2 linked regions of the Oryctolagus cuniculus genome follow. Each later gene encodes a partner of the first gene's protein in a complex. Links are inferred from orthologs where the notes say so. Each region holds a gene or a part of one and is shown in the gene's direction. Other genes may lie near its edges.

Region 1 (4,591 bases):
CGTTTGGGGAGTAAACCTGCAGATGGACGATCCCTCTCTCTTTTTCTCTCTCAATTAAAGTGAAAATAAATTTTTAAAAAAGAGTTGCGAATATTGCTTCTGAAGAGTGGGTGAGAATTATTTTTCCATTACAAACTTTATAGTATTGTAGGTATACATATGAGGGGTCTTCCCAAAGCTTATGGATATGCCATGCATGGATTTTAATATTTTTGCACAAAAATAAATTTATTTTTTAATTTCACTTTTCCATGAATTTTTTGGAGTCCCCTCATATTTTTAAACTATTTGTATGAATTATTTTAGCTCAACAGAACTTAATGTTGAAACAGCAGCATATAGACGGAGGATGGCATCTACAGTACCCTGAAGTTTATCCAAGGCCTGTACGTAAAAAAAATCTATTTTTAGAGACCAGCATTGTGGTATAGTGAGAAGAGGGTAAAGCCACAGTTTGAGACACCAGTATCCCATACGGGCACTGGTTCAAGTCCCATCTGCTCCGCTGTCCATCCAGCTCCCTGCTAATGTTCCTGGGGAAAAAGCAGAAGATGGCCCAAGTCCTTGGACCCCTGCACCCTCGTGGGAGACCCAGATGAAGCTCCTGGCACCTGGCTTCAGCCTGGCCCAGCCCTCGCTGTTGTGGCCATTTGGGGAGTGAACAAGCAGATGGAAAATCTCTCTCTCTCAAACTGTCTTTCAAATTAATAAACAAATCTGTAAAAAGAAATCTATTTTTAAAAGCTGTCTACCCCTTGACGATAAAGGCTGGATCTTTGCTCATTTTTTGGATCCAGTCCCGTCCCTACCCCACCCCACTCACCCCACCCCGCACCAGCACATAACTGAAAAAAACCATTGATGTAGAAGGGACTCAACTAAGCTTGTTACACTTCCTCTGGAGGAGGACAAATGCAAATCAAGGCACACAGGCAGAAGGTGCAGACGTGGTGTAAGGATCAGTTCAGATTCCGCAGGCAGATGAGTAGGAGCTATGTCTCCCGCGGGGGCACTGAAAGGTGAGGGTTGGAGGCAGAGAAAATTATGTTCTGCGCATCCAGGGGCAGCCCCTGGCACGGAAATGGAGGCAGCACAGGGGTCCAGGGAGGCCCATCTGAACTGCCTGTTAACCGAGGTGACTATGCATCCCTTTCCTTCGGTGCCTTTAAACAACATAACTGATCATTTGTTCATTGTGTTTCCTTTACCACAGTATAAGCTCCACGAGGGCAGGACCCTGTCTACCGTGTTCACTTCCGCATTCGCGGCTCAGGACAAGAGCCCACCATCTGTTGGGGAAATGAACGCACGATGGTGCGACGGACTGCCACCCGTCTGGAATGAGGAGGAGCCTCCACGACGCACAGGCCGACAGCAAAGAATCCTGCCGCGAGATAAGAGCGAGCTTCTTGCAGGACCCCTGACATGACAGAACCGGAAGAGTGGATTTGGAACTCTGGGACAAGCGGGAGGCAAGTTCCGGGAAGGACCGCTCGGTGGCTCGCGGAGACTTGATGGGGCGGGGGTGGGGCGCTTCAGTGGGAAAGTAAAGCGGTAGGAGGCCTTGCGCATGCGCAAGTGTGACCGCCTCGCCCCACCCCGGGCGCGCCTGCGTGCGCGTGCACGAGGGAGCCGGAGCGGAAATGGCGCCGCGGGGCCGCGCGTCCGGGCGGCGAGCGGAAGTGGGTGTGAGAGCGGAAGTGGCCGGCTAGAGCCGGGGGCTGGGCGGGGACCGGGCTTGTCGGTGAGGCGGCAGCGGTGGCGGCGGCGGCTCGGCAGGCGGGTTGAGGCTTCTGGGGCCAGGTCTGTCGGGTGGGTGGGTGTCTCCACAGTCCGTGCGTGCGCGGGCCGGCGCGCGTCCTCCCCTTCTCTCCACCCCGGCCCCTCTCCCCTCTCCCCTTCTCCCGTCACCTACCCCACCCAGCCCCCCTTCTCAGGGGGCACAGGGCCGCTCCCTGCGTCCTTTCCTCCTTTACCCACCCTGACCCGCCCTTGTTTCTCCTTCCCCTGTCCGGGGCAGCCGCCGCCATGATCCTGCTGGAGGTGAACAACCGCATCATCGAGGAGACGCTCGCTCTCAAGTTCGAGAACGCGGCCGCCGGGTGAGCGCGCGCCCCGGGGCTGGGGTTTGGGGCGGCGTGGAAGGCAGAGTTGACCCCCGCTAGTCCCCGGTGCTGTCCAGCTTCCCCCCCGGGCCTGGCGGAGGGAGTTGGGAGGCCTGGCAGTGTGTAGGGGCTGCCCCGGCGGAGAGACGTGGGAGGCGATTGGGCGCGGCGGGTGAGGGGCAGGGATGCGTGGGGTGAGGCTCGGAGGAGGGATGCGGAAGCTGCGAGTGGACCGGAGTGTGCGTGCCGAGGGCCAGGGGACCTGTGGGACGTGAGGGCAGCTCGGGCCGGAACTGGAGCCCGAGGAGCCCACTGCCCTCCGTGTCCCCGTCATTGTTCTGAACCCGGAGAGAGCCGGTTTGCGACTGGGCTGGAAGGAGTTTTCAGGAATTCCCAGGACTGGAGGAGGGAAGAAGATGCAAGCCTAGATCGCCACCGGCGTTCTCCATCCCGCCCCCACCCCTAAAGGGAGCCCGAGGGGGGACGGAAAGCAGACCCAGCCTTGCAGCCATCTCCCTAGCTTCCCTTCCCGAACCCTCCTGCGAGCGACAGGGGCCGTTCTGTTACACATGTCTCAAGCACAGCTAATAGTCCTGCACCCACACCCTTTCCTTATCTCTTCCAAGAGTGTCGGGCTCTCTCTGCAGCCTGCACCCCGCACACCCCGCAGCCTTTATCTGCCTGTTGGCCTTTTAAATTCTCATACAAGACCCCTGGGCTGTGATTTCTTCTGTGGCAATCCTTGGCCGGTTACACACTTCACTGCTTCCAGAATCTATGAAGTTCTTAGATAACCTCTTTTTTACCGTTGTCTGTGAAAGACGGGCTTTGATTTCCAAGGCAGCCTTCACTGTCAGAGAGCAGAATCAGTGGAAGACGATCAGCCGCCTCCCCCAGAGCACCTTTAAAACATGAGCCAAGGACTTGAATTCTAGCTTCGAATTTTTGGTGGCCTGTGGTCAGTCCCTTTGCCTCATTTCCGCATCCGGGACGATGGGGCTTCACATCTTGGTTGCACAGTTGAGGAAATAAGTACAAACTCTTTTTGGTGAACTGGGAACCAGTAATAGGAAAGTAAATGCTTGGAGAGCCACAGATGGGACAGGATTGGTGGAAGGGAAATTTAAGTGGTCATAATGAACTTGTGACTTGGGAGGTTTTTTGTTTGTTTGTTTTTTGTTTTTTTTTTTGTTTGTTTTTTGAGTACTGGCTCACTGCTTAAATTGAATGGATTGTGGTTCCCATCTCTTTTTTGTAAGAACACGAACTACTTTCCTTGGAAGCAGTGCATACAGTGAGCTGAACGGTTTCCTGCCAGGGCCTGCCTGCAGTTGCTGATATTTCAGGTTAACTCAGTTCTTACTCTCAGCCCCTCTTACCAGTTCTTTGCATTTTAAATACTCAAGTGACTCAGTCCGGGATCTCATTTTGGGTGATTGCTCTGTGCTTTTTCTGAGCAGTGCACTGCACATAGGAGGAAGTTGACTTCACTTCTGCATTTTCACAACTGATCTCAATGCATTCTCAAGTCCAGACTGGCCAGGAATGAGACCTGGGTGGTTATGAGCTGATCTGCAAGATAAATGGCTGTGTGTCTGCAAGTAGAAACATGCCTTTTAGTGTAAGAGTACTTTCACATCTATTTGTGTATTAATAACCTGTGATTCCAAAATGTGTGGCCCATTCAGAACTTCAGTTCTTTCTTATAATTATTTTCAAAATAGCAGTTAATCATTTCAGAGGGATTAAAATGGCCCTCAATTTGGAAGGCATAGATTAGAGCTTGCAGGACTTTTTTAATAGACAGACATTGGTGGTGAGGTTGTATGGGGGCAAGGGTTGGGGTTGGCTTTTATTCCAGCCCATCTCCCCTTTGAGATCTGGCTTTCAATACAAGAGCCCAGACCATTCTGTGGAAAGTTTCGTTGAATCTTTTGAAAAGAGGCCGAGATACTCTGTGATACTCATGCCTAGGAGGTCGGGCATTCCTGGGGTTGCAAGTACAACGCCAGCAGAACACGGTGCAGCAGAGTGTGTTCCCAGGCACCCGTAAGAGGAGGCAGCAACGAAGCTGTGTTTGTCAGGGTGCTGCCCACGAGCTCAGCCCAGGGTGGCGGGGGCGACCATCATGAACACATGGGATTCTACCAGCGCTCAGCACCAGGCAGCAACTGATGCGGCGGGAGGTCTTTCTAAGAGAGCACATTAGCAACAGAGCTAAGAGGTGCAGACATTAAAGAAAGGTAATAGCTTGGAGGAGAGCCGTGGGGGATTTAAAAGGCTTTGCCATTGTGGGAACCTGCTGAAAGAGGTCTGTTCCACCTGTTTTTTATGCTTCTCAGAAGAAACCAGTTGGGGAAGTTGCAGCCGGGAGAAGGCTTGTCTATAGTTCGTCTTCCAACCCTGCCACATCCCGTGTGATAGCCACTAGCTACATGTGGCTGGTTGTGTGGAAATACAAATGACGGTGAAATCAAACTGAGTTC
Region 2 (4,441 bases), on another chromosome or scaffold:
GAGGCCCCGGCTCCGCCATCTTCCCTGCCATTTCCACCCGGCAGCGCCTCCCAGGTTCAGTTTCCTCTTGCGGAAAATCTTGATGAAAAAGAAAAAAGTACAGTCAGCTTGGGCATCTGAAGAAGCACTGCCTATGCCTGCGCTAAAGTCAGCAGGAAACACCAAAATACACCGTTCTTACATAACGCCAGTCGCCGCAGCAACAAGGCCAGCAGGTGGCCCGCAGTGCCCACTGTGTCACCTGGGTAGCCGGTGACAGCCCTGGGGGGAAAAGGCCAGCTGGCCGACTCCTCACTCAAACGCCACCCCCCTCCCATTCCCCAGCTTTCTTGCGCGCAGAACTTGGCCAAGTCCGTGGGAATAGGAAAACACTGATTTTACTGCAAGGAGGCTTTGAAGCCCACGCGCGGGTCTCCTGTCACACGCAGCCTCCGTGAGCTGTGTGCGGGACTCTGGCTAGGCGTGGATCTCAGGCTACTGCCCCGCACCGCTGCCCAGGAGCTCTGCGAGGGGCCGAGAGTACCCGCGTAGGTCTCCCCCGGCCTCTGCGCCCCTCTCTCTCCCCGCGCTGCCCGCCGCACCACGCACGCGCTGGGCACCTTCTGCGTGCGGGCTCCGCGTGGGGGGGGGGGGGGCGCGAGGCCGGCGTCACGGGTAACACGCGTTTTCCACACGCGTGGCGCGTCTGCTCCAGGAGGCATCGGGTAATGAGTGGGAGGGCCCGGCCGCGAGACGGGAGGCGCACACGCAGGGCGCGCTCCGCCCTCCGAGGTCCCGAAACGCGCCCCAAAAACACGAGTGGCGGGGCCGGGTCCCCTCAGCGCCGGGAGCCCACGCGCCCCCGCCCCGAACGCCCGCACCGCGAGCCCCGCAGGCTCACCCCCGGCTCTGCCGCCCAGCCCGGCCCCTGCCCCGCCGCCGACCGACGGAGGCCGAGTGGGTCGGGGTCCGCTCGCGGGGCGGCCGCGCGTGCGGCTCAGTCCGGGGACCCCGCGGGCCGCGCGGCGACTGCAGCCCGGGGAGCGGCCCCGGCGGCGTCCGGGAGGCGCGGGAGGATGCGGGCGCCCGGACACGCATCCCTCCGCCCCTCGGTCCTGCCGACAAGAGGGCCGCAGCGCGCCCGGCCCTCACGCGGGGCCGCGGAGACAGCTGACTGGAAAGCCCCGGCTACCCCGCCGCCGCCCACCTGAGACCCGTTAGGCTGGACCGCAGGCCCGCGTTTCTAAGGGAACCCGCGTCACGTGACGCGCGCGAGCGCCCAATCGCGTCTCGCCACCGCCCGCCGCGCCCCGCCCCGCGGCGGAGAGTCGCGCCTGCGCGCCGAGGGGGCGGGCGCCGGCCTCGCGCATGCGCGGAGCCCCCGAGCCGCGCGGCCGGCCACGCCCCGGGGCGGAAGCGGGAAGTGAGTCGGCAGCGGCGGCTCGCAGCGGTCGGGGGGGCGCCGCGGAGGCTCGAGGGCGGCGGGCGGCGGCGATGTCGAAGAACACGGTGTCGTCGGCGCGGTTCCGGAAGGTGGACGTGGATGAGTACGACGAGAACAAGTTCGTGGACGAGGAAGACGGCGGCGACGGCCAGGCGGGGCCGGACGAGGGCGAGGTGGACTCGTGCCTGCGGCAATATCCTTGCGGCGGGGGTGTGCGTGGGTGTGCGTGGAGCCCCGGGAGTGCGCGGAGCCGGCAGGCGGACGCCGAGCCCCCGGGAGTGCGTGGAGTCTCTGGGAGTGCGCGGAGCCCCGGGAGTAGGTGGAGCCCCGGGAGTGCGTGGAGCCCCGGGAGTGCGGGCCGGGCGTTCGCGGGAAGCCGCTGTCCGGCGGTGCCTGCTGCCCTGGGCGTGTCTGAGCAGCTGTGACCGGGTCCGCGTTTGCACCGGATCCGTGGGGGACACGGGGGCGCTGGCAGGAGCCGCCGCGGCGCCCGCGTGCTCGGGCTGTCCGCGCCCCGCGGCGGTGCGTGGGGACCGCTCGGGCCCGCGTCCTGCCGTGGCGGCCGTGTGAGGGCCTGGGGCTGTGCAGCCTGGACCCCGCGGCGCCGTGGGCCCGCTGGGTGGGCCCCGGAAGCCAGAGGCCGGCTGCAGCGATGGCGAGGGAGGGGCGGCGGCCGGGGCTTCTCCTTTTAGGGGAATGGCTGTGCCTGCCGCCGGCCTGATTGGCCCGCTTCCTTGCCTGCTCCCTGCTCCCTGGCGCCTTCGCGGACTGCTAGGTGTGGCCTCCAGGAAATGGAGCCGTCCACCGTCCACCCGAGAGCCGGGGCGTCGCCGCGCAGCGAGGCCGAGGTGTGTCTTTGTGCGCCCACGTAGCGCCGCGGGAGATGGCGGCTTCCCGGAGACCTGAGGGCGTGGGATCCTGACGTGCGTTTCGGGTCTCGGCACCTCTGCAGTCTGCCGAAGGTGTCCCGTGAGGGCAGCGTTACCAGGCGATCTCTGATGGTGCGAACCAAAAATAGCCCCCCAGTGCGCTGTTACCTTTGGTCGGCACCCCGAGGGCGTTTCTGAGTCCCGAGAAGCACCGGTCCCAGGGGCTGGCCGCTGCCCTCGGCTGCCCCCGGCTGCCCCCGCTGTTGCCCCTTAACCGCCAGCACAGGGAACATGACAGCCGCCCTGCAGGCGGCGCTGAAGAACCCTCCCATCAACACCAGGAGCCAGGCGGTGAAGGTGAGTGCCACCCACCCGGCCACACAACCGGCCGGCCAGCTGGGGACCGTCCGACACAGGAGGGCTCAGGGCGCGCTTTGATGGGGCTGGAAACGGCGGCCAGCCCAGCAGCCCGCTGCTCCACTTCCGTCCAGCCCCCTGCTGAGGGCCCAGCGCAGAGGGTGGCCCCAGGGCTTGGGCCCCTGCTCCCACACGGGAGACCAGGGAGAAGCTCCGGCTTCAGATGGGTCCAGCTGCGGCTCTTGCCGCCATTCGGGGAGGGAGCCAGCGGGTGGAAGATCTCTCTCCCTCTCTCCCTGCCTTTCAAACAAATAGACCTTTTTAAAAAAAGAAAAAGAAGATTTAAGAAAACAGCACCCTGGCCGACTTCGGAGAACGCGTGTTCTGGACGCGGGAAGTTCTGCGTGGGGGGGGGGAACCATTCCTGTGGCGTTCAGAGGGCCCTCGGGCTGGATCTAGGCAAAGGCTTTGAGACAAAAAACTGGCACAAAAACGAACAGGTTCCATAGGCCAGGCGCGGCACTTAGCTGTCAACGTCCAGGCCCTGGCTCCTGCTGACGGTCACCCTAGGAGGCCGCTGATGGCCACAGCGCCTGGCTTTGTCCCACCCCAGTGCCAGCAGATGGGACTTCTCTCTGTGCCCCTCTCTCCGTCTCTCTCTTGCTTAGTTATATGAATATTCAGCAGAAGCCAGGCAGTGGTAAAAGTGACTACCTTCTGGGGCTACCCTATGTTCATAGGATTTTTCTGTGAGTGTTTTTTCGAGGAGAAGCTTTATAGCTTCGCTCCTCTGTGTAGCGATGGACGTGAGTGTTTTCCTTAGCAGCAGGTTTGTTTCTGTAGCGTTGACCAGCTCTGCGCTGCAGAACCTACGCACCTAGTCTCCTCTTGTCACATACCTGGATGGAGTGGCTCTTCCCTGGTGAAGTTCCCAGCTGAGCACATTCTCGTGGCTGATCCTTGGAATGGACTCCAGAGTGAATTGCTGGCTGCAGCCGTGTCCCTTTGCGTCTTCCGTCCCCTGCAGCCGTGTTTCACTAAATAAGAACCGGTCTCTCGGGTGCTTAGTGGTTAGAACCAAGTCCAGCGCATCACCCCCAGGGCGGTGGCTACTCAGAGCCTCAGGAGTCTCCCTAATTAAATGAAAGTTGGCAGGAACAGGTAGATGCATGTGAATTGTCGAGGCGACGGTTTTTTTAAGGGGAAGCGTTGCTTTGGGTTTAGAAGTTGCCGGGAGCATTACTGAAATTTCCGTTTCGACACCTTCTGCTTTCGTGTGGGTGGTTTCATCACGGCCTGGGGGCGGCAGCTTGTAGCTGATGAAGATGGCTGTGTGAGTGGGGCAGCTGCACGGGCCGAGCTGCAGGGAGCAGTAGGCGGGAGAAACGTCCTGTAAGAACCCGGACGCGAGGCGGCCCCAGGGGCCGCTTTGTGTGACAGGGGAGGCGGGCGCTCCTTAGGAGTCCCTGTGTGTGACGGGAGGAGGTGACCTTAGATGTGCTGTGTGTGACAGGGGAGGTGACCTTAGATGTGCTGTGTGTGACAGGGGAGGAGGTGACCTTAGATGTGCTGTGTGTGACAGGGGAGGAGGTGACCTTAGATGTCCTGTGTGACAGGGGAGGAGGTGACCTTAGATGTGCTGTGTGTGACAGGGGAGGAGGTGACCTTAGATGTGCTGTGTGTGACAGGGGAGGAGGTGACCTTAGGTGTGCTGTGTGTGACAGGGGAGGAGGTGACCTTAGATGTGCTGTGTGTGACAGGGGAGGAGGTGACCTTAGGTGTGCTGTGTGTG

Evidence for each region.
Region 2: ARPC2 (region 1) and ARPC5 share a complex: the UniProt entries of both Homo sapiens proteins name them as parts of the arp2/3 complex. The link is inferred for Oryctolagus cuniculus from reciprocal best matches to the Homo sapiens genes ARPC2 and ARPC5.

The regions. Positions count from the first base shown.
Region 1 is NC_091434.1:21,132,440-21,137,030, reverse strand, and holds the start of ARPC2 (actin-related protein 2/3 complex subunit 2), read left to right. Parts: upstream 1-1,620; 5' UTR 1,621-1,803; intron 1,804-2,020; 5' UTR 2,021-2,028; coding exon 2,029-2,102; intron 2,103-2,109; exon of another isoform or gene 2,110-3,451; intron 3,452-3,565; exon of another isoform or gene 3,566-4,348; intron 4,349-4,591. UniProt on the Homo sapiens protein: Actin-binding component of the Arp2/3 complex, a multiprotein complex that mediates actin polymerization upon stimulation by nucleation-promoting factor (NPF).
Region 2 is NC_091444.1:1,522,680-1,527,120, reverse strand, and holds the start of ARPC5 (actin-related protein 2/3 complex subunit 5), read left to right. Parts: upstream 1-1,372; 5' UTR 1,373-1,473; coding exon 1,474-1,616; intron 1,617-2,567; coding exon 2,568-2,649; intron 2,650-4,441. UniProt on the Homo sapiens protein: Component of the Arp2/3 complex, a multiprotein complex that mediates actin polymerization upon stimulation by nucleation-promoting factor (NPF).